Drosophila melanogaster: one gene and its partners. The protein of the gene in region 1 interacts with the protein of each later gene in a pairwise test. Each region holds a gene or a part of one and is shown on either strand. Other genes may lie near its edges.

Region 1 (5,794 bases):
TCTCTGGCTGGGATACCTTTTTCCAGCTTTCCACTTCTATGGAGCTCTAAACTATATGTAACTATAGTCTCGAGATATTTTATTCTATTAATATTCTTTCTCTAAGATAAATATCAGTTTTTATTTCTCATATATGTAATAATAAATATATTTATAATAAATAATAAATAATAATAATAAATATATTTATTATTAAGGTATACAACCCTTAAATTAAAATTTAATTTAGATGGGATTTCATAAAATAGATTTATAGAAAATGAAAAGAATATTATAAAATAGATATTAAAAGAAAAACGTTGTCTTTTTAGGAACTATGAATCTTATATCTTTTTAATTTAATAATTTTAAAATTGGTAGAGCACTTCTGAAATTAGGTTATCACTTTTAAGTACTATTATTCTAATATCTTTTAAATACAATTAAATATTTTTATTCGTTAACACAAACCCCATAACCCCCCAATGTCCTTAGAGAAGCTGAGATATTTTTGCCCAGGAACAGGGCAGCACATCCCCAAGCAGACCCAACCATCACCGCGATCACTCGAATGCCATCCTAATGCGCCCATTTTAGGGCTTTAACCTAATAATGACGTTCGACTTAGTTTGCGTGACTTATTTTATTAATAAAACGAGCAAATTTGTCTTGCTTTTTGGTCGCATCGTCGTCATATGCTTTTTCTCTCTCGGCGATGTCTCGTTATTGTCCTTCCTTCCTGCTCTGTTTGTGGAGACCCCCCCCCCCCATATTTCCCTCTCTCTGAAGGAATTAAGGACTTTCCGCTGTGAGGAAAGACTGATTCTCAAAGCAACAGGACGAAACAGGACGAGTATAGTTGCGAAAGCAACCCCTCGGCGAGCTCTTCGCCGATTGGTGGCTTGCTGGAAAGGAGGCACGCCCCCTTTTTCGATGGTGTCACTTGGTTGGGTGCGGAGGGGGCCGGGTGTCCTTGGTGGGTGGTGTACGGCTATGTGGGGCTCTGATTCAATTAACCGCGCGGGGAAAAAATATCTGAATGCAAAGCAGGCGAATGCTTGGCCCCAACCCAGCGGGTACAGTTGCGCTGGCTCCACCTAGCAATTATCCTGTCACAGCAGCAGAATCGATTGTTTAATTCAATTATAATAATTGTGGCATTTAATGCACGCACATCATCAGCCAGACAGCCAACAATGGCGGCCGTGACACGTTAATTATGACAAGTGGGTGCCAAATGGGCGGCTGGGGACGTGGCAGGATGTGCCTGCCTCGCAAAATGGCGGCAGAGCAAGGACGCATAGTTGTGCAACTTATTTGCGGCTAACGGGGGTCAATTAAACTAAGGTTTTTCCGCACTAATCGCATGTCCAGTGGATGCCAGCAGAGAGATGGGTGCTCAAAATCCTGCCAGAGCAGGACAACCCTATGCGCATGCAAATCGAGGGGTGTGTTCATGTGCCCGCTTACGGGGATTCCCCGAATATTGCCGCTCTAAGCGGGCACCGCAAAGCGGGCCAACTGCAGCCGGATTGAGGAGGGGGTGGCACTGCCTGCGCTCGCATTTTTTCCCCCCCTTCGATTTTCCCCTTTTCGCAGGATGCAGGACCATATCGCCGGCTCGCTCGCACATGTCTGCTGGCAGCTCGTTTAGAGCAATTTGCTGGTTGATGTGCGGTGATTGCCGCAAACTCAACGCGACCGTCAACGAGCAAACAACATAAGCGCGCGCGCGGTCCAAGGACACGTATATATCCCGGCTGGCTGGCACATCTCCTGGCTCCGGTCTCCATCACTGCTCCTCGTGCTCCTCCTGCTCGGCCATCCTCCAGCGCAATGGCAATGCTTAATGAGGCCAGCTTGAGTCCTGCGGACGCACATGCTCATGCCAACGCCACCACGCCCACGCACAGCAAGGCGGCGGCGATGGCCAGTGCCACCACAATGCTGACCACAAAAACGCCGTTTTCCATCGAGCACATATTGTTTCAAAACTTAAATAGTGCCAGCAATAACAATAATAGTAGTGATACCAACGGCATCGCCGCAAACACCAACAACTACGCGCCAAAGAGCAGCAGAAACGCGGTGAAAAGTGCCAGAAGCGCATTTGCCCACGACAATAATCCGCACAAACATCCGTCGCAACATTCGCATCCGCCGCAGTCACATCCGCCGGCGTCCGCATCCGCATCCGCGACGGCTACTGCCCGCAGCAACCAGGCTGCGTCGGGTTACGCTGGCGAGGATTACGGCAAGTCCATGCACAGCACTCCACGGTTGGTTTCCGAATTCCAAGGCCTAATACTACTGCAGTGAAATTTTAGTTTAAAAAACTTTAATTTTAAGCCAATATAATTGCATAGAAAAGTGAAAAAAAGTAATTAAAATAAAAAAAAAATAAATAAAAAATAAGATAATATTAACAAAGTGAATTTATAAAAGAATAAGAAGTAAACATGAAACATCAAATACGATAGATAGTCACACCTTCTTGAAGACAAATATTTTGGAATAGCATACACCTTTAAAATCTTACTTTGGATTATGTTCTTTTAAATTATAGAATATTTTTTGTAAGAAAAATGATATTTTGGAAACATAGAAATCAGGCTTACCATAAAGCTTAATGTATCTGGGAATATATATTTGTATTTAAGCATATTAGCATAAAAATCACTATTGGACATAAAGAGAATAGTTTAACATCGAAATACCAATAGACCCCTAATTGAACCACTTGCTTCGTAGGTCCAACCACCACTCGCGACACGGAACTTCCCACTACAACGGAGATCAGATTTCGCAGCAGTTGGGATCTGGAGCAGCACAACATCCGCCGGTGCCCACGACTCAACCTCAACCTCCGCCTCCGCCGCCCCTGAATGGAGGTAGTGGTGCATCCAATGGAGTACTCTATCCGAATGCACCCTACACCGATCACGGATTTCTTCAAATGACCCTCGGATATCTCTCGCCGTCGTCGGGCACCTACAAGTCCGTGGATCCCTATTTTCTATCACAAGGTGAGTTAATGCTCGATATTACAGAGATATCCTCCTAGATGATTCTGATTTGTACTGGTACATACAAACATGTTGGTAATAAGTTAAAGTCGAACTCATAGAAATTAAAAGTCAATTCTAGCTAGAGTTTAGCTAATCGAAAATGAAGTTGGACATATTCTCATTAAAAAGCCAGCACAACATTTAATTTCACATTTAGAACTTTTTCAAAATGAAACCCAAATTAGTAGGACAACTGATGTTGAAGTGCAGTTTTTTGTTGCCACATAGCTTCATTTAGGGGCACTAAAACTCGAAATATTCGGTGTAAATGGCCATCAACACCGAAAGTTTTCATTTGTTCCAACTATAACGAAGTTAACCAAATTTTGCATCCTTTGCCCTTTCAGCCAGCCTGTTCGGGGGAGCGCCCTTCTTCGGAGCGCCTGGCTGTGTGCCGGAACTGGCCCTCGGACTGGGAATGGGCGTGAATGCCCTGCGCCACTGCCGCCGGAGGAAGGCTCGCACGGTGTTCAGTGATCCGCAGCTGTCCGGTCTGGAAAAGCGGTTCGAGGGACAGCGATACCTGTCCACGCCGGAGCGTGTGGAGCTGGCCACCGCCTTGGGACTCAGCGAGACGCAGGTGAAGACCTGGTTCCAGAACCGCCGCATGAAGCACAAAAAGCAGCTGCGCCGGCGCGACAATGCCAATGGTGAGTATATTGATTTCATAATCACAAATTTATTATGAGCAAATTAAATATTACGAAATTTATAATACTCAAATCAAGTTATTTAATATTCAAACCTTTTCTGGGCTGTTAAGAACAACTAGAGCGAAAAAGAGTTGCTCAAGTTTTCCAGCTTTTAGACAATGCAATATTTGAGTTAGCAATTAAATTGTCAAAAGGCATTTCGAGCAGGAGTGGTCAGCGGTTTTCAAATTGGTCACAAAGCACCAAAAACTAGACCACTGGAGTGAGTAGTTTCTTTGAGGAACTTTTGGACTATCAATTAGACCTTTTGGCTTTTAGCCGGCTCCTTGTGATGCAAAAAGTTTTGCTCAAGTTTCAACGCAAATCAAATTAGTTCTAAATTTTGTGGAAATTTCTTTGACTCTTCCATGCCGCAGAGCCCGTCGACTTCTCACGCAGCGAACCGGGCAAGCAGCCGGGCGAGGCCACCTCCTCATCCGGGGACTCCAAGCACGGCAAACTGAATCCCGGATCTGTCGGCGGCACACCCACTCAGCCGACGAGCGAGCAGCAGCTGCAGATGTGCCTGATGCAGCAGGGTTACTCCACGGATGACTACTCCGATCTGGAGGCGGACAGTGGCGACGAGGACAACTCCAGCGACGTGGACATCGTCGGCGATGCGAAACTCTACCAGTTAACATAGACAGTTCGATCGGGATGTGGACCTGGATCCTAAAGTAGTAAAGTTTTCGGTGTTTCAGTTGGGGGAAATACAACTAAAAGAGATTTTCAAATCAAAAAATATCAGTTTCTTTTACTAAATGACTTTTCTATTAGACAAGCACAGAAGTTACAAAACAACACATATATTATCAGCGCGAGCATGGTTATACCATTTTGAAAATATCTATTATTACGATTTAGTACGAACTATAGTTCCTTATAATTGTGGAAACTTACCCATCAGTTTCACCATTGAATTAATTGATTGATTATAACAGATACCATCCAGCTACTCTAGCTGTTTTGATCTTGTCCAAAAGAAACATATTTATTTTGCTATAATTATAGTTGTATTTCCCCCCAGATACATATTTGAATTGAATCGAAAAGCCGTGTAAATACCAACGAGTTCTTGAACGAGTTTTCTAGTCATGTATTAAGTCTAATAACTAATCAAATTTAGTGATTGTATTCGAGAACTTCCATTTTAAGATACATTAGTTCCCTGCGACTTCTTATCCAGAACATAGTGCTTACAATAAACGGAACGGAGCGAATTACGCGAATGCTGGAGAAGTGTTACTGGGTGGGTGGGTGGTGTAGCTTGATGCCCGCCCCCTCGCCGGGCAATCAAATCCAATTGACAACACAAAGTAGCAACTAATATGGTTAAGCAGCGGGAATACTGATGTATGGGGTTGGCGACTGCCACGCCCTGCGCATGTCCTGCCGCCCAAGTGGGCGGGCGGAAGCGGGTGGGATTGGATTGAATCGGGGTGGATGGAAATGCACTTAACAATGGCAAAATAATTGCGGGTTTTCAGACAGCCATTTTAGTGAGACACCCATTGTCAAGTGCGGAATAGAGTGAGGAGGTAAAAGTTAAATGTTTCAAATTGATTGGTAATTACGGGTTAGCAGGAATGCTCTCGAAAAAATATTAATAGTTTACCCGATTAAGAATGAGTCTTGGAGGGAATGGAGTTCCATATGCTTATATACATGTAGATACCTTTGCAGTCATCAAAACTCATGGATCTATTTGTTGAGAGAAGTTATCATTTTTAGTTTCATACTTTGGACTGTTAAGACTTTTCTTGACGTCAACGAAGCATATTCCAATTCTATTCTGGCGATTAAATGGCATATGTACATATGCTTGTTAATAATATGTATTTTTTTATATAAATTTCGAGTGTGTATTGAGTTATGCTCAACTTGGTAAACATGCGAATTAATAATATTCGGAATAATATACAACCTAAGGTCGAAGCAATGACAAGTCGCAGTCGCTTTAGCCACTTGTATTTTCCCAGTGAATACAGAAACTAATAAGTAGTACTCTTGGGCTTATCTTGCTATTGATAAGCTCAATGTGAAATAAACTGC
Region 2 (6,748 bases), about 20 Mb from region 1:
TTTGAATGTGGAATGGGTCGAGGCAATGAGTGTGTTAGGCGTATAGGATACTCGGAAACATAGTATGTATCGATAACGATGTCGGAGACATCTCCGAGTACATCCACAGCTTCCAACCACCGATAAGGCATACGGTGAAAATATTTCGCAAAATGATAGCCGTTGACAGAAATAAAGAAGCACTCCTCAGTAAGCAATATTTGCATCCAAAAAGACTTTCCCCGGTTCAGCTGGAAGGTTAAATATGAAGAATTTTCCTCGGGTCCCCATTTTCCCTTAAGACGAGAATTACGCGTTATATAATTTTGAGGAAGTCGTGATCCTATTTGCAGTAGGACATCGCACTCCTCGCATATTTCACTTCCCTGCTTGGTGAGAAAATCAATAACAAAATGCTCACATGCCATTAGGATCATTCCGTGGAAGACGAAACAAAGTCCTGGCCTTGGACATTGGATCACTTTAAAATGTTTGCGTCGATGGGCTTCTGAACGCTTTTCATAGAACAACGACATCGCATCCATAACTCGCCTTAGAGCTACAGTGCACGCTCCAGGATACACGCTCATACACTTGCTCTCCATTTTATACGGCAGTAGTAGGGAAAGAAACTTCAAAATTGTTGTTATACAAGGGAGATTAAAATATTTATAACATTTGAATAAATACCCAGAGTTTGACATTAAAAAAGAAAACGACATTACCAGAAACATTGAAAGCTATTTTTTACTCAATAAATACCCATATAGCGACTATGCGTTCAATTATATAAATACACATGTGTAGGGAAGAATAATAAAAATCGGATGACGTTACCATAATTTTATTTATTAACAAAAATATTGTATAATGAAACACGAGCGTATCACTTTTTTATTGTCGCTAAACTACTAAAAAATAAAAACATGAACAGCTACTACTCACTAAAGAACCACGGATTCTGATAGACTCGCATATTTTTGCCTTTAATCATCTGATTTTTTTCCAGCGTTACATTCCAAAGTTTAACATCTCCTTGTATGTAGACAGTGTCCACCACCTCAGGGCTAACCTTATATTTAAAATCAGTCATAAACTGCCGATTGACATACACCTCAAAGGATGTTTTGGTACAAACAATGGCTAAACAAAAAGACCGACCAGGGCGAAAGTTTGTGTCAAACTCCGAACGCTCTTCTTGTGCCCAAGCTCCATTAAGCCAGGCATTCCTACACACCACCGCCTTTCCAATAGCGCCGCTGCTTGCTTTCGAAAAACGTGGGTTTAAGTGGAATGCAATTACTGGATGTGGCCATATGTCCTGCCCCTGTTGCAGGTTTATATAAAACGAGTGGGGAAGTAATCGCACTCTCCCTTCAATCTTCAAGCATCGACCATCGACCAACGAATTTGGTGGCAATGCTCCATAATAAGGCAAAGTAAGGCCAAGATCATTCGAACTATTGTTACGCTTAGGCGAACTGTCCGACTGTGTGTTCGGGGCGCTAATAATGCACCACTCATGAGGTATTTTAACAGTCTCCTCAACGCTGGCATCAATTTCATTAATCCCATCATCTATGTGAAGCTCAATGTTATTAGCCTCTGACTGGGGTAATCGCTCAGGATATTTTAAGACCAAAGTTCGCTTCATTTCCACGTTACTTACATCTCCCTTCACTTCCAGAATGCGAACATCCCTATAAGGGATTCGATGAGTGTACGCTGCAAAGTGTTGTCCGTTTACCGATATCATATAGCATGCCTCAGTAACTAGCACTTGAATGGAAAACTCCTCGCCTCGACTTAGTAGAAACGGCAATGCCGAGGACACTTCCTCGTTTCCCCAAATGTCCTGTACTTTGGTGTTGCGGACAATATAGTTTTGTGGCAACCGTGGATTAATGTGGAGCGCCACATCTCGAGAGTCATTGTTATAAACCAGATTGATGGAAAACCTAAAAAGGACGAGGAACAGTTTAAAAATTAATCACGTAAACTTGGCCACTTAACATACCTCTCGCAGTTTACAGAGAGATTCCCAGTCACCGTGAAACTTATCCCTTCGCTCAATTTCCCTATTTGGTCGTTAAAATATTTTGGCACAGCATCTGCATATTCGTAAAATGAGGCCTAGAATGGGAATTTAATAAGCAGAACTTTTAAAAACTTTTAATTACTCTTAAAACAGTCTTTCACCCCTCCAGTTCAAGGTTTATCGTAAAAGGCAGTGTTCGGATTAAAATATAGCCAAATTGGAAAGTAGCCTTGTCAGCCATTCCATATATAAAGAAAATTTAAGATTAACTTAATTTGTTTATCGTTTGCACAAACGATAAGACTATAAGTCATTTCCAAAGGACAATCAAAATACTAGTTGCTTACAGATGTAAGCTATCATTTTACTCTTTTGTACATTTTTAGTTATAAATTCTTCCGTCAATATGTTCAATGCTTGCTTACCTCATTCAAACCTCCCTTTTTCAGCTTGGGACAACAGCACATCATTTTTTCATACAAAACCCTAAGACACATTTTACGTTCTGATTTGGAAATCTGAATAGCCAGAACTAAAAAATTAAATATTCGTCTAATTCAAGGGATGTACTTTTTTAACCACAGAACTCTTTATGAATCGCTTATCGAAATGTATTTGTTTTTAGACATTAAGGAATGAATCAACATCGTACTTGCTCGCTACCGCACATTGAAAATCGAAAAGTCACTGTAACTTAAATACTGCGCATGTAAATAATATACTTTTAGTTCCTTAGAATTCGCTGTTGATGAATATATTCTGCCCTAAAACGTTCTTTTCAGCCTTCAGGAGCTCAAAGGATTTTAATGTTATTTAACAAAATGGTTTGGTTGCCAGATATTTAGCTGTTATTATTGTCTCCCTTTTCGCGAGTTACACGCTTGAAGAGAATTGAAGCTACGCCGCTATGACAACGCCAAAAGCTCTTTGAACTCGACATATAAAAACGACGATATATGTATGTATGTATACACCCTTAACAGATGTGCAAATAAATGGCGAGTAAGCTCCTGAATTGACTTGTGTTGAGAGCTTATCGCTTTAAATAATTATGAAGAGTGGCTAGGGTTCAGACTTGACTAAGTGCTAAAGCCACCCACCTTGTCAGACCACGACTATGTCAAACAGTTGTTTCGAGCTCCCCCAGCACGCGAATGGGGGAATTACTGCGGAGTACGCTAAAAGCCAAGACAAAGATGAAAAAGAGAAGAGCAATTGTACATGATGTGACAAACGCACGCATGTACGTATATAAGCACAACCGCTAAGCCACAGCAATTGCGCTCAATTTATCCGATTACGCACTTTTAATTCATTTCCATCCACCACCTCGATGTCGCTGATGCAATCCAAAGGAAAGTGTGTTGTGCTCTCCACCTGTAGAAAACTGTTGTGCAGTTCCATTGTCGTACCGTCCAAGGCATCCATATTTCGGTCACAGTATACACTCGCCTCAATAGCTGCAAAATCAATGTGTGCCTTCCGATGCCTTGAGGGCTGACGCTCGCGGCAATAAAATCCAAACAGTTAAACTTCGCTCGATTTTGTAGGTATTCTGCCACAGAACATCTGACAGATCAACGAGTTCTATAAACAGCTTTTGGAAAACTATCGCTTTGATACACAAAAGCTTTAAAAACACATTGCACTGGCGACACCAATCCTGCTTTAAAATCGCAGTGGCGCCATTATACACAACTCATTTAAACTACATAGTGAAGTGCCTGAACTTAATTAAAACAACAGTGGCGCCATTGTGTATATTGGCGTCAGTGTGGAGTTTTTTTAAATTGGTGTCAGCGCTAAAGAAACCACCCTGTCCGACCGCGACTGTGCGAACAGCTATTAAAAGCTCCCCCACAACGCGAATAGGGGAATTACTGCGGAGTACGCTAAATGTCAAAACAAAGACGAAAAAAGAGAAAAACATTTGTACGTGATGCGTACAAACACATGTTTACACTTTAAGCACTATCACTAAACCACTCAGTATTTGCGCTATAGTATCCCGATTACGCACTTTAAATTCATTTCCATCCACCACCTCGATGCCGCTGATGCAATCCGAAGGAAAGGGTCTTGTGCCCTCCGCCTGTAAAAACCTCTTGTGTAGTTCCGTTGTCGTATCGTCAAAGGCATCCATATTTAGGACACAGTCTGCACCCGCCTCAATGGCTGCAAAATCTATGCCTGCCTTCCGATGCATTGGATCGGATGTTTTTGACACCTGACGCAACCAAAGCTCGCGGCAATGAAATCGAAACAGTTCCAAACGGCGCTTGATGCGATAATAGTTTAAACTTCGTTCGATATTAAAAGTGTTCTGCCACAGAGCATCTGACAGATCGACGAGTTCGCGAACCGAGTGGCAAGCCAGGAGTATTATTGCCGTCATACTGACTATGCAAAGATGGGGTTACCGATTTTACCCGATGCAAATGCGGTTTTGAGCACGGAGCTTATACGCTCTCTCGCTCTTTTGGTGCAATTCAGCGCGCTTTAATGTACGAGATTTTTTTTGGCTGAATACATATATACATACACATGTATGTATGTATGCATCTGAAAGCCAAAATACGTGTGCCTTTAGCAGCGGTTTGTGAGCGGACTGTTTGGAATTTGATTTTATGCCGGCCTGACCGAGGCCACCTATAGCTCAATACTTTTTATCAACCCCGAGATATGTAGCTTTTGCATTCTGATAACATTGTTTGTCTACACATACAAATTTAGTCATGCGTAGGTGCGCCTATACATATGTATCTACATTAAGAAACTTTTCTAGTATGTATATTCTTCATTCATATGTATTAGTACAGGCGTTGTCTGTCGTATTCGATAGCGGTGGTAGTTCTTTTTGGCTATTAATGTACCATAAAGTTGACGATGCAAAGCAATTAGTATCGACAAACTTACATCCTCATTTTTAAACCTCTGATAGGTTTCATCCTGGCTTCGTTTTTGCTTTCCACAGCAGCAAGTCATTTGTATGATGGAAATAAATTGATCTCGGAACAGTTGAAAACGTTGCTATTGTTCATTAGATAGCTGAAAAATAATATGTTACCAATCGCTAAGAAGACCTTTTTTAACGTTAAAAGTTTGATGCTAATAATTAAATAAAAACAATATTTTATTGAACAAGTATATGTTCTTCATTCTTAGAATCACTGGGGCGTTCACATAAACCTACATGTGTACATATTTTGACTTGCTCGATTTCAACAACCGCCACACGTCGCGAAGCTTTTCAAACTGATATTTTGTTTTGCACATTATCATTGTCTGAATCAGCCATTAGACCTCGCGCTGTGTGCTTTGTAAAAAGAGATTGATGTACATATGTACATACATATTTACATTCGTATGTGCAAGTTTTTAAGGCAATTGCCTATTAGCTGTTTTCATTCATTTTCCTGCTGTTTCTAAAGCAGATATATCACAACCGATTTTATCATTACCGAAACATATACAAAAGTGGTGTATATCAAATTGTTATTAATGATCGAAATGACCTGTCGAAGCTTACATTCTTTCTGCTTTTGAACTTAAATAAGTTTGTGAACTATCAATTAAGATGATGTTTAGAAAAGACGTTGCAATTGTTAAATTTTCAGCATCATTATTTATTTACATTATTTAAAATTATTTTTCGGTACCGTTATTATTAAAAACAAAAGTTTAATTAAAACTACAAAAATACAGCTTAGATTCAAGACTGTAAACCAAATAAATATCTTCCGTTCTGCTGTCTAAAGGCATATTCTGGATTTTATGTTAACATACACCAGAAGGTACATTATATGTTCAAAACTTAACCCAAAAGAAAACTTAAGCGCTGAATAATTAATCGATTTACATACGTAAGGAAATTTTTTCAACCAAATCGTGTTATTCTTTAAATAGTTGTACTATTCTTGACTTATTTTCGTGTGTAGACTCCAGCCATTGCTTTTAATAAAGTTAATACAACTATACTAGTTTTTAAATGGGAGTATACATTGTACACAATTACATGTGCATCTTAGAGGGACGTAAAATAGGTATTTAATATTTTCCAAAATAAAACCACATATTTTATATGAAGGATATAAAGCATATCTCAGCGCTGTCGTGTCGAGCGCGTACCCATGCTATGATGTGATTTAGAAGTTGGTCCTTTATAATACTTTGATAACGTTTTGCTAGTACGGGTCGGTCGGGCGTTGGTGCTGTTCCGTTCTGAAGGTTTTTCCGTATCTGCCTTTAACGGCAAGTCATCGTCTTCATCCCATCTAGAGTCTTTTTTTTCTTCATCGCCAAAATCCTCGACGTTGGAATCAATCTTTGATTTACGTCCTCGGCGGTTTCTTGATGATGAAGAACTAACATCAGTTCGCTCCCACTTATCACTAAAAAATACGGTAAACATTTTAAATAAAGTCCGTATCAATAAATCTACAACTCACTCTTTTAGGGAAATCGTGTTTTCTTCTCCTGCTTTAAATCCACGATTCAGCAGGGCCAGCTCCCGCTCGGCAATTGCTTTTTTATGCTCATCTGCCGATTCTGCTGCACTTAGCTTGGTTGTGGAATCGGCAAGTTGCTTCACAGGTTCTTCATGATTGCCTCGCTTCAGCTGAAGCTGTTGCTCCTGGGCCTGTTTTATAGAGCGCTTTAACGCACTTCTAAGAGTGTCGCGGGAGTTTTCAGGCGCTGCATCGGCTCCCAACTGAGAAAGTCCAATAGCCT
Region 3 (5,458 bases), on another chromosome or scaffold:
GAAAAGCAAAAAACAAAACCCGACATTTATTGCATTATGCCGCTCAAGTGCTCTTCGTTGAGTCCGAATGCCTGTTTTTCCGTCTTTTTTCTCGGTGGGTTGCTCCTTCAATGGAATTGATATCAAGCAGGGCTTGTGGGCGTGGCATTCCTCCAGCGAGTGAATCAGGAAAGAAAAGTACAAAAATAGACAAAAACAGGGAAGAGAGCTCACGAAAATAATAATACGAAATACGCTGACCAGAGCCAGAAGCACAGCAAATTGAAATAATTCAATTAATTTGCATTGTAAGTATAAGTACGACTGAATTGTAATCAAAGAAAATGTGGGGAGGCTGGTAAACGAGTGCGCTACAATGAAATCAGTTTAAATGAATATGCCAAGTGGCCACTCGAAGGCAATTGATGCAAGTGAATGCGCGCAAAAGCCACCGAACATTCCACAAGAGCTCTGCGGAAGGAAATAGACTGAAAATGTTCGCTGTTGATCGGCAAAACGTTTTTTCAAATTCAAATCAAATGCGCGCTCAACGGGCTAGCTGTCTGAAGCTCGCTGTTGCGGAACTCGATCTTGGCTATATCGATATCGATAAGTTATCGCAATGGTTCGCGCACGTACTAACCAATGTGTATTGTGTCTCCGCTAACTAAGGATGGTGTATTGGCTTAATGCCAATGCACACTGGAAAAAACAATCCGATCTAAATAAACTTATATATAATTAGTGGTTTGCATATTATGCCGTGCATATTCCTATTTCATCAAAGTCCCTCACAATACCTTTAAAAAATTCCTTTCTAGAGAGCGCCAAAATCTAGCCCTAACCCCATTTTGAGTTCAAGTCAGATGTACGAAAACAGCAATTCACTTTATTGCTCTCCTAGCCTAGCAAAAAAAAAGTGGGTTGAGTTAAACACAAAACGCATAGCATTTCCAGGAGGTCAAATCTGGGGCTTGTGCTCTGTATTCTCCACATCCGCGACTTCCAATCTCGTCGCACAACAATCGATATTAAGTTTAGGATACAAAAAAAAAAAGAATGGAGCTTCAGTAGTTGTCACCGGCTTGGGCGGCTGGCCCAGAACACATTTTATTCAGAACGCAACATCTTCTCCTTTTGGCGCTGCAGCTTCTTCTTGGAGAGCTTCTTCTTGGCGGGCTCGTCATCAGTGGCCTTGGAGACAAGCTCCTCCTTCTCGGTGAGGATGACCTCGACGTGGCATGGCGACGACATGTAGGGATTGATGCGACCATGGGCACGGTACGTGCGGCGACGCAGGCACTGAGCGCGGTTCACCTGAATGTGGTGGACGACCAGGCGGTCGGCATCCAGACCCTTGCAATCAGCGTTGGCCTCGGCGTTGCGCAGCAGCTGCAGCAGGAACTCGGCGGACTTCTTGGGCCAGCGACCCTGCGTGGTCTTCCACTGCTTGGCCTGGGCACAACGACCGACTCCTCCGTTGAAGCGACGGAAGGGCACGCACTCCTTCTGGTCGATGACGGCCTTCAGGTAACGCTGGGCACGGCGCAGGGGCATGCGCTTGATGGCCTGGGCGGTCTCATGTGTGTTCTGCAAAACGAGTAAATGATCGTTCATCAGTTGCTGCTGATACATAAATGCGGCGCGATCGTAAATCATAGTGATTGGAAAGTACTATATTACTTTGTGCCAAGGTTCAGGTAGAGACGCGAGCACTGAGGGCCAACACGCCGCTGTTTTACAATGGCTGGGGTTTGCTTTGGGCACAGCTTTCGATCGGTGATCTTCCATGGAGGATAACCACCTAGTTTAAAACTGTGCCCATGCAGGGGGAACATAAATCATAACTCATATCATGTAAGCTATACAGGATTGGATATGCCCATGGCATATAACTATTGGTTAAGTTATCAGCTTGAGCTGCTAGATATGTGTACATTATTTCGTTAGCTAACTGGTGATGGTGATATGAGCTTGATCTAGTGGATTCCGTGATGGATTTCATTTGGGTTTAGTTAGATCTGTGCCAGGCTACAGGTAGAGACTAGCTCATTGAAAGCAGCAGGCCGCTGTTTTAGCAAGGCTTTGGATTCGCTCTGGGCACACGTATCGTCAGCAGTTGTCCAGAATGGAGCAACCGCCTTTTTAGTTGGCATGCCGAAATACTGGATTCATTGGGATAATTGGTTGTTGGCGAGATTTTAGAAGAGGGCGTCCAGAGTTTTGGGACTTGGCACTCAGCTGATGAACTCGTCCAAATTGGAGGATTCTTCTAGCAGCAATGCAAAAGCGAGATGCTGCACAATCGGCTGGCATTCACTGATTTAAGCTGCGGACTGGTTGATGCCCAAGAAGGCCCAGGTTCCTCGGATTTCTGGGCAGGATTCTCACCTTGAAGTGCACACGTAGATTGGGCCCGCGCGCCTTGCACGACTTGGCCACGTTGTCTGACTCGCGTGAGTAACGGCCCATTTTTCAATATCTGCAAGAAACATGGGCAATTAGTAAGATATCTTAATATTTGATATGTGTAAATAACACATCCGGTCAAGATATTAGACAGCAGTTGTGGCACGCTAGCAGAAGGAATTTTAATGGATTCTTATTGATTTGTATGATTATTTAAAATTGAATTAAATTCTAGTGAGTTTCTTGAGACGCTTCAAAAAGCTTTAAAGGTTTCGAATTTGTTGTAGCAAGCTGAATCAAAATTTGGTGCTTGAATTAACCACGCTTTTATTTGCTGCTGCTGCTATTATGTTGACCGGTATTGTAAAATGCGAAAATTGCGAGATTTTCGCCAATTTCCTTCTCATTTCAGAGGGCAACCTAAATACGCTGGCGGTCGTGTGTAAATATATCAAGAATATAACCAATTGGAACACCGGTTTTTATCTAAAAACGCGGCGGCAATCAAAACACGTGCAAAATGAGCGAGAAAAAAAACTAAGCGGCTGCCTGCTCCTATGTGTGTGTGTGCGTGCGTAAGGGAGTGCGCATGTGTGTGCTCCTGTAAACAACAAAAATTCTGCACGGATTCCGAGTCGAAATCCATTGAAAACTGTCTAACTATGTGCATTTCATTGAGTTACCACTTTATTTGGATAGTTTAAATACTTTTGAGAAACAATGTTCGCGCATAGGCACACACACACACACAGACACAATGACAACACCACATGCATTTCTGGAACAATTTACACAATATTTCACAGAAAAAAAAAGATAATGCCATCAAGGCATATAATGCATTCATGCATTCGCTTGTTTTTACATGGTGCACCTTTCAGTTTTGACCCGCAGGCCCACAGTAAAAAAAATATGTAAGAAAAAAAATGAATTGGTTTGGTGTCAGCGCATTTTCTGGCCGGCCAATTCGACGTGTTGATTTCCACCAGCCAGAATTGCGCCGCAAACACCATTAACACGACCGCAAACGTACCACAGTGCCTTGGCTACAAATAAATGAGTTTGAATACGATTTAAGTGGCAATTTTCGGAAAATAACTTTCTAGGCACATGCACTCACCGGAAACGTGGAACGAAAAAGAAAGGAAATGGCAGTTCTAGTGCTGGAAATCAAGTCGAATTAGAGTGACCGACCGTCATTTGCAGAAAATGGCTAAAAATAGGCCAGTAATCCCTGGTTTTTTTTGGACGCAAACCAAATTCTGCGCCCCTGGCAAGATCTAACAGTGTTGCAAAGCGAAGCGATGGTTTAACACCCCGCTTAGCTGAGCGATGGCTTGCACCATCCAGTGCAGTGCAGCAGTTCGATAGAAAAATAAAAAATAAGCTAAGAATTGCCGAAACCCGGGATTGAACCGGGGACCTTTAGATCTTCAGTCTAACGCTCTCCCAACTGAGCTATTTCGGCACTTGGCAATTTCCTGGCGCCGAACGCGGGATTTTAAATGAAATCCCGTTCAAATTATACTAATCCTGATTTTATGGAATCGAACTAAACTGAAGCCGAGATAAGTAGAGGGCTTTCGATTAAATGGAAACTTCCCAGAGCTCTGCATAAATTACTCACTTCATTTATGAACAATAGTGGCATTCACTTGGGCCTAAATTCCCATAGCTTTAAAAATCAAATAAATTTAGTTAAATCATAAATATTTGTGCATTCTATTGGCCCACATTAAATGGTGGGAAACAGTTCGTTTATTAAGCGGCGGAGCATCCAAATTTGTGGTTTTGGCTAATGGATTCAAAAAACTGACGTCACTTAAGCCTGGGAAACTTCCAGTATTTTGCGGTTTTTCGATTATATGTAAGTATGGAAAATAACTAGCACCTGGGGGGACAATGGATTTTAATTAAGCGAACTGATAAAACCGATCGAGCCAAAATAAACCCGACTGCATTGTCCCTTTTCTGTTAGTCATTTATTAGCGCGTTCGTTCTGGACATGACCGTAAAAATGCCCGTTGCTAATCGGCTGGCGATCAAAAATAAGACTGCGGATCAAACCGGTCGAAGGAGGCGGTGCTCCACCGCTCACCACTCACCGATGGCCACTGACCAGTGACCACTCACCACTAACCATACCACTCAGCAAATCCTGCGGCAAATCCGAGTTCTTTGCTCAGTCAAACGCCAAGCAAAAAGCTGAAAACAATGCATTTATTGCTTTTTAATTGGCGCAAATTCAAAGCTCGAGTATTTTTAGTGTCCGCGTAGCCATTCAATTTATTCATGATTCACGACTAATTGCAGGTGACGCTCGATCGCTTGGTTCGCTTCCATCTCTTGAGGTCAAGTGTCGAGGAACTGGAGTGTCTGTCGCAACTGCTGCACGTGCCATGTCGTCCGTAGCTCCACGTCCATGTCGCTGCCCCAAGGATCCGGTTCCACACACACACACACACGGTGGCACTTAACTGGAGCTGCCAACCGAGGGTTTGGGCCTTGGAATGCGCGGCTCGTGGGCATTCAAGCAAGACCATAAGCAAAAGAAACAGAACACTGCTCCCAGAACGAACCAAAGACTGGCCACCACCCACTACTCACGTGCACAGAGCGAAAATGTGGCTATTTTATGTGGTATGCAGAAATATATATATACATATATACATAGATTAGCCATCACAAAATATTTCAAATCAGATTACATTATGTGGCCAAGCATTTGATATCCATGACGATCAATTCATTATTCTCTGTGCACTCGAACTTGAGCCTCCTAGAGCTGCCCAACCCACCCACTCGACGATTAGCAACACCCAACACCCAAACTGACGTCACAACGTGTTGTTCCGCTGACCAAGACCGCGTCAAATGAGCATAGAAAAAAAGTACCCGCAAGACCAAAGAAACACCTGCGAAAGCCAAAAAGCACAAAACAACGCAAACACCATGGAAACTGGTTCCGCGGGGAAGCTGAGATCTGTGGCTCGAACATCGGAGCTTGGAGCTTGGAGCTTGTAGCTCCATGAGTCAGCGGCGGATAGGCGGCTATCGTATGCACCGATTT
Region 4 (6,610 bases), on another chromosome or scaffold:
GCGCCCACGTCTATGTGTTTCCCTTTAAAGTTCGGCACTTAGCACTTGGAACTCGACCGGGCCCAAGGCGAAATTAATTGCGTGCTTTCGTGCGCGGCAAAGAAAGTTGTAAATGCTTTCTCTTTCTCTGAGGACTGTGCGAAATAATTAAAGACGCCCAGAAGTATGCCACAGTCTTTCGGATGATGTTAGTGTTGCGTGTCGGGAATTATGGCCCTAGGTTTTCTAGAATCCCACTGTTTGACCCATTCTCTGGCTGAGCCTATCTGGTCGAAGAAATCTAGAAAAAATAAAAGCAAAAACTGTTGCTTGACCATTAGTTGCGGCGGCTTGGAATCAAAATCCCTGGGAATTGGAGTTCTCTGAATGATTGGAGCACAAATATTTTCTGAAGGCTTCCGCAATTTAAAGCAAATTGTGGCTCTAAGCTGGAATTCAGCAAATCAAAGGCAACTAAATGTTATATGACCCATTCGCAGCCACATAAAGGTGTATGGGTAGGAAAAGCTTTGGTGACGTCGAAGTTCTATATATAGTTTTCCTACCAACTTTTTGAGTGTTCATTTATTTGGTAACCTATTTTAGGGAACAAACAGCTATTTGTCCTTAGAAATCAACATACAAAATTGAAGTTATATTTAATTCTCTTGATAACTTACTACTACTGTGATTTATGTGCAATTCTAACAGTCCATTGGAAACACTTTGTCTAATCTTTTTTATAAAATTAGAGCTAACCCTTATCTGTCGTTCATTTTCAGCAACTTTTGTTACTATCTAAGCACGTACAAATTGCAAGCACCCGAAATACAAATAACAAACTTTATTATCGATCAATTCAAACACTTTACAAGTAGCTTAGTTAGTTCCTTTGATTTCTCTATTTGGGTGGATAATGCTGGAGTATTATAATTACTGTTGGTAGTGGTGTGCGACTCATGGTTGTGTGGTTAGTGTGTAAGTAGGTATGCAGATCACTACGATGGCCAACAATCCCATGCCACATGCGTGCATTCGATCCGATCCGGGTGCATGTTTCGGATTAGTCAAGGCTGCGGGCCATGATGAGGGCCACGATGACGGTCAGGATGGAGAAGGAGTAGCGCAGGGCGCCGGCGCCACCATCGCGACATGGCCACTCGTCCACATCCGAGCTGCAATTAGAAGGTGGAACAGGCGAACGGTGTAGTCTCGCGATCTCACAGATACAATTGGTGCGACAACGGATACGGATAGGGGTATGGGTGCGGATATGGATATGGGTGTGGGTATGGCAAAGGATAGTGCTGGAGTGGATAGACAACATGATCTTGTGGCTCCCCATGGGGCACATAGTACAGTGGCTGATGGCGTGGTGTTGGTGGTGCAGGTGCAGGTACAGATGGGCCACTGGAAAACATACAATGTGAGTTTTTTGATTGAACCCTGGTTGGATCAGTAAAGTTCCGATTCCAGCGGCAGTTGTTATTCCAATATCCCCTTCTCTTCGCCGACCGACCGACCGACCGACCGACCGACCGACTAATGCTAATGATGTTAGTAAAAATGATAGGTAAAAAGGCTCTCTGTCATACCTACCCACTCGGAAAAGCAACCCCAGCAAAGCGCGAAAGTTTGTTTAGGCCATGAATATGAGGTGGTAGAACACAAGTGGTACAGAGTATGCTAATGTTTAGCTTAGATTTCGGTTAATTTTTGTTGATTTTATTACACACAAACACACACACGGCAAATCGAGTGAGTCAGTGAACTGAGACAATTAATTGAGGGAAATGTGTAAGCCAAACATGTAAGGGTGAGTGTGATTGTGGGTGGGGGAATTGGGAAAATTGGGAAAACATTTCATTAGTTACTACGCCTGGAGTTACACAACTACACATAAAGTATTCGAGCAGCATATTGATTTGGCTGACACGTTGGAAGGGATATTTACTTGATGCCAATAACACCACAGGCTGAAAGAAGGTTTAAAACAAATATTTTATTATTATTATTATTTTATTATTTTACACTGACTACTTACCAATGCGGCCGCCTGCATTGCCGGTCTTCTTGGAATCCGTGTGGTTGCCCAGACCGAGATCATCCTCCAATTCGTGGACAACAACTCCCCTGCCAATGATCCCCAGCTTGCCAGTTAAGGTGATCACCTGATCCGTGTATGTAACGTCGATAATGCCCGTGGAGTTGGCCTCCAGGTTGCCCAGATCGCCAACATGACGCACCTCGTGATCGGGGCCACCGTGATCAACCTGAGACATAAAAGTTATATTAGTGATTTAGACACCTAATCCTATAAAGAATCCCGCATCTACCTTATCGGGGTTATAGTGAGCACCCATGCTGATGCATCCATTGGTCAGATCTCCCTTCTCGTGAATGTGGAAGCCGTGCTTGCCCTCCTTCAATCCCTCCAGCTGGACGCGCACATGGACATTCTGGCCACAGTCGTTCTGCGTAAAGGTCACGTTGCCCTTGACCTGGGTATTATCCGATTGCACGGGTCCAATCAGATAGGCAATGGCTTGAATGGGCATATTGCGCTGCAAAGTAAGTTCAGTGTCCTAATTATAAGTGGATTTTCAAATTAACGAGATTATATATCTTACCGTCTGCGCAGCAGAGCAAATTGTGGCACAGAGTGCCAGGCTAACAACAAGATATTGCATCATTTTGAACTGCAAGGAAATCATAGTTAAATTAGACACGTGTACGACTCGGATAGCAAATGTTAGAAATGTTTAAATGTCTATAAATAAATAATTTTAAATTGAGTGGCACAAGCAGAGAAAATCCCACCAGGGATGATCTACTGGACATAGCTAAAAATGAACTAAATGATAATCCTGAAATTTCGATAATTGATATGGACTCAATATTAAAAACATCTTCCAAAACTATTTATATAATGCTTTATAGTAAAGCTTTAAATGATTTGGAACCAAATACTTTCAGTTTTGGGAAATGCTAGGAGGGTTTATGTCTTGTAATCTCAAATTCCGTGATGCCAACTCATCTCTGGCACTTGAATTCCAGCTCATCTCTGGCTTGGACGTCATCAGGTGTACATTCTCTTGATTCCATTTAAACGGACAGTTGTGTGCGGAATTGAAGCGCCTAGCCTCAATTTATGAAACGATTTGTGGGTCATATATGATGTGCGAACGGGTATTATTATTTATGTGTGTGAATAATGAGCGATACCCAAACGAAACTAAATGCAAACAGCCTTTTTCACAGGGTTAAGTGCGGCTGCGGGAAGGTCAATCAACAATCTCTTTTTCGTACGCACTTCGCTTCCAAAGTTCCACAAATGAAATGGATGGGTGTCACACTTTATCGGGGCAATATTTGTTTATGGGTCCGGTTTCCTTACGGTCTTATCAATGTGTCTGCGATATGCTGGCGATCTTGCACGCTCGAGTTCTGAAACGATCTTCAAACGCGGTCAGTACCTGCTCTACACACGTATCCTTATCTGCACTTGGAATCGGTCCCATAATTTACGATTCTCACGCTCGTAGAGCGACTGAATTTCGGAACTAAAAATGCCATTGTCATTACGTATAAGTATTTTAATCTGTTTTTTGCCAGGTATTTACTTATTCTGGTTCAAACTGTCACGAAATGGGTCACAAATTGCAACTAATAGCCACTGCTTGTCCATCAAATAAGGTTTATTAGGGCTCTTGCTTGCTGATTAAATATGATTGATTTGAAAATAATAACTCAGTTTGAGTTTTACCGTGAAACGATATGCTAATGAAGATGCTTATCTGAACAATTTGATCGCAGGGCTCTCTTCGTGAATTTGCAAACAATACAGCCAAGATTACTTGATTTCACACACAGAGACTTCGCGTCTAATTTAAACGCCGAAGCTATGCAGTTTTGAGATAAGAACAAGCCATAATTTTACATATATGAAAAGATAGAATATCGTAAACACTTGTTCAACCAACTGTTCACGATTGGGAATTTAAATGTTTATTGAAGTTTTAAGCCGTGGAATGTGTGGATTGTAATGGATATGTACAATATTTTGTGTCTGGTCTGTGCTGCATTTTTGCCCACTCATTTTTCTGGATTAATAACTGGTTACCTTAACCCACTCAAGGGTGAGCGGACAGTGAATGAGAGAATCAAAAATCAGTGAAGTAAACTCCGTTTTTGCGGTAACTGGTTTCTTTTTGGTAACACGCAATTGTGGGTAATATATCTAAATCAGGTTCTAAAATGTAAGCAAACCAATAAATTATGAACAATTAACAATTACAATTAACTCAAGTAACTTCAACTTCAGCTTAACCTTCACCCAATATTCTCGATTACTAGCCCTTGATCTTCTTTTTTTTCGCGTCCGTTGCAAACTCACCTTGTTAGCAACTATTTTATAATTGGGTACTGATTGTTTTTTGCGAGAATTAAGCGATTGCACCTCTGTACCGTTGGAAACCTGCGACGGAACTGTTTCGAGCCTCTGGCATTGCCATCGCAAATCGACTCGCTGAGAGAACATTGGGGCAGATTTGGCGAGAGCAAGAAGACCGCAGAATTGAGAATTGAGAGCGCCACCAGGTGGAGCGGCGGATATTGCATTTGGCGGTCAGCACGATCGCGTAGGCGAGAGTTCCGCTCTCAGGTTTATCTCGGGCTTACTTCACCGCTCTATCGCTCTATCTCCCTCGTTGAGTTTTTTTTATCAACTGCAGATTGATCAGATTCTTTTGTCCAGCTCTGATGATATATTTATTATCCTATTAACGGCCTTTTTTTTAATTATATCCAAATTATAGCTATTAAGTAATTCTTTGAACTTACTAAAAGCGCAGCTGAAACACGCTAACGTGCTTTTCATTTGAATACCTTATCACTGTGGCGTCATAAAATATGTGCCAGGCTCGTGCCTACAATGGAGGTCGTAAATATTGGCATGCTTTCCAGATACGGCGAAGCAATTTGAAGAACTACTGCTACAAATTCTTTGAAAATGAGTTGCCAGGTAATAGCTTCTGATATGCCAACCGATGCCATGAAATTGTAGTTACATCACATTTATAGCAGGCCGGGATCGAATTTTTTAAATAAATAACGCATTTAAGTAGGTGAAAATATTCGTGTATTCACATTTGTAAATTGTGCTAATAAAATCATCGTACATACAAAAACTCTTAATTATTGATTCTCTCAATACTAAATGTTGATAGCCAAGCCCTACTTATACAAGATATAGAATGTAAGTACATACTACTGCTACTACATAATAAGAAACTTTCCACTTGGGAGCTGGTTAAAATTATATTGCCTACTGTAATTTTGCACATGTCCGCCTGTTTTTTGGGTTTAACCGCCGGTTAGGATCGGTCGAGGATTAAGCTACTTCGATTAACAATTAGTTTTGGTTGGATTGGGATCGGGTTTCTAGATGAGCTTGTGCCTGCCGAGGGAAGCCGTGTGCATGGGACTGCAGTTCTCGATGAGCATGGTCTGGCCCTCTCCAGTCGGTGATTCTCCACCTTTGTTGTTGTTGTTGTTGTTGTGGTGGACCCTCTTCATGGGCCGCTTTCGTTCGATATCCGCACAGGGGTGCAGCTCCACGGTCTGCAGACTTTGGGCTCGTTGCAGCGATAGCCGGAGGGGTTTCTTGGGCGGAGTGGGTCTAGTGGTACGCGTCTCAGTCGCAGGCTTCGATTCGTTTTCGCTATCGAAATCCAGGGATTTTACACTCCTCATATCGCTGGGCAGGCGGGCTCGAAGTGTGTTCGACTCACTTTGTCGGGGCGTGTCTCGGCGACGATCCAGTCTGGAATGGCGAAGAAGATCGGGGAGATTAGTCAGGAAAATTTAAATCTATGAAAAAGCCTGTCTTTGCTAGAACATCTACACAAGAATCTCGAAGAATCGCGAATAACCTACCCATTGTAATGATTCAGGTGCTCTACACTGCGTGCGTGCGTGCTCATGAGATGTTCGCGATGCAGTTGCTGCTGTTGCTGGAGAGGATCTCTGGGGCGTTCCCGGTGCTGGCGATCGCGATGGCGCTCCTTATCACGTCGATGGTGCTGCATATAGGCAGAATCGCTATTAATCGAGATCTTCGAGGCGGACAGCGATTTGGAGGGCATGGAGTACATGTGCGACAGACGATCTCTCAAATCGATGTGGGTATTCTCCTTGATCAGTGTTTTGGTTACATGTCCGGGAGGGGTTTGTGTCGAGGCCATGTCGTCACCCATCAGCTCGATGGGTTTGCCCCCCACCAAAGTGGTAATATAGTTGCCCCGCTGAAAGATCAACGGTTTCTCGGGCGGTGTTGATGGAGGTGATGATATGCTGATGCTGGTCACATGCTGAGATTGATTGGAGGATGTCTGCTGTGGATTTTGCTGTGGATTTTGCTGTGGATTTTGCTGTTGCTGCTGCTGCTGCTGCTGCTGTTGCGATGGATGATGCTCCTTGACTGTCTGCAGTTCTCGCACCTGCTCTTCCAGGTACGATATGCGATGCTGCAGCCTCATGTTGTTCTCCTTCTCCTGGTCTAGTTGCTTTTGTGGTATAGGTACGGACTTCTTGCGGAGTACAACCATCTGACACTTGCCAGAGTTTCCTA

Evidence for each region.
Region 2: the proteins of bsh (region 1) and galectin interact in a two-hybrid assay, tested with the Drosophila melanogaster proteins (one large-scale study listed by BioGRID).
Region 3: the proteins of bsh (region 1) and RpL17 interact in a two-hybrid assay, tested with the Drosophila melanogaster proteins (one large-scale study listed by BioGRID).
Region 4: the proteins of bsh (region 1) and Sod3 interact in a two-hybrid assay, tested with the Drosophila melanogaster proteins (one large-scale study listed by BioGRID).

The regions. Positions count from the first base shown.
Region 1 is NT_033779.5:19,764,951-19,770,744, reverse strand, and holds bsh (brain-specific homeobox), read left to right. Parts: upstream 1-1,677; 5' UTR 1,678-1,815; coding exon 1,816-2,258; intron 2,259-2,730; coding exon 2,731-3,005; intron 3,006-3,394; coding exon 3,395-3,697; intron 3,698-4,116; coding exon 4,117-4,385; 3' UTR 4,386-4,969; downstream 4,970-5,794. UniProt on the Drosophila melanogaster protein: DNA binding protein that function as transcriptional activator. May play a role in the determination and function of cell types in the brain.
Region 2 is NT_033779.5:70,267-77,014, reverse strand, and holds galectin (galectin), read right to left. Parts: upstream 4,629-6,748; 5' UTR 4,413-4,628; coding exon 4,038-4,412; exon of another isoform or gene 3,446-4,037; coding exon of another isoform or gene 3,323-3,445; exon of another isoform or gene 3,118-3,322; intron 2,887-3,117; exon of another isoform or gene 2,515-2,886; coding exon of another isoform or gene 2,443-2,514; intron 2,113-2,442; coding exon 1,997-2,112; intron 1,938-1,996; coding exon 917-1,937; 3' UTR 804-916; downstream 1-803. Other genes in the region: CG11374 (uncharacterized protein), read right to left, coding at 1-569; dbr (debra), read right to left, coding at 6,120-6,408, 6,466-6,748.
Region 3 is NC_004354.4:6,740,688-6,746,145, forward strand, and holds RpL17 (ribosomal protein L17), read right to left. Parts: upstream 3,552-5,458; 5' UTR 3,422-3,551; exon of another isoform or gene 3,263-3,421; intron 3,129-3,262; exon of another isoform or gene 2,988-3,128; intron 2,481-2,987; exon of another isoform or gene 2,462-2,480; 5' UTR 2,452-2,461; coding exon 2,371-2,451; intron 2,315-2,370; exon of another isoform or gene 2,165-2,314; intron 2,140-2,164; exon of another isoform or gene 1,999-2,139; intron 1,805-1,998; exon of another isoform or gene 1,662-1,804; intron 1,570-1,661; coding exon 1,090-1,569; 3' UTR 850-1,089; downstream 1-849.
Region 4 is NT_033778.4:11,379,640-11,386,249, forward strand, and holds Sod3 (superoxide dismutase 3), read right to left. Parts: upstream 4,476-6,610; 5' UTR 4,376-4,475; intron 3,437-4,375; exon of another isoform or gene 3,293-3,436; intron 2,679-3,292; 5' UTR 2,673-2,678; coding exon 2,610-2,672; intron 2,544-2,609; coding exon 2,316-2,543; intron 2,253-2,315; coding exon 2,024-2,252; intron 1,956-2,023; coding exon 1,934-1,955; coding exon of another isoform or gene 1,930-1,933; exon of another isoform or gene 1,390-1,929; coding exon 1,200-1,389; 3' UTR 1,155-1,199; coding exon of another isoform or gene 1,043-1,154; 3' UTR 810-1,042; downstream 1-809. Other genes in the region: sprt (sprite), read right to left, coding at 5,422-5,803, 5,917-6,610. UniProt on the Drosophila melanogaster protein: Protects the extracellular space from the toxic effects of reactive oxygen intermediates by converting superoxide radicals into hydrogen peroxide and oxygen.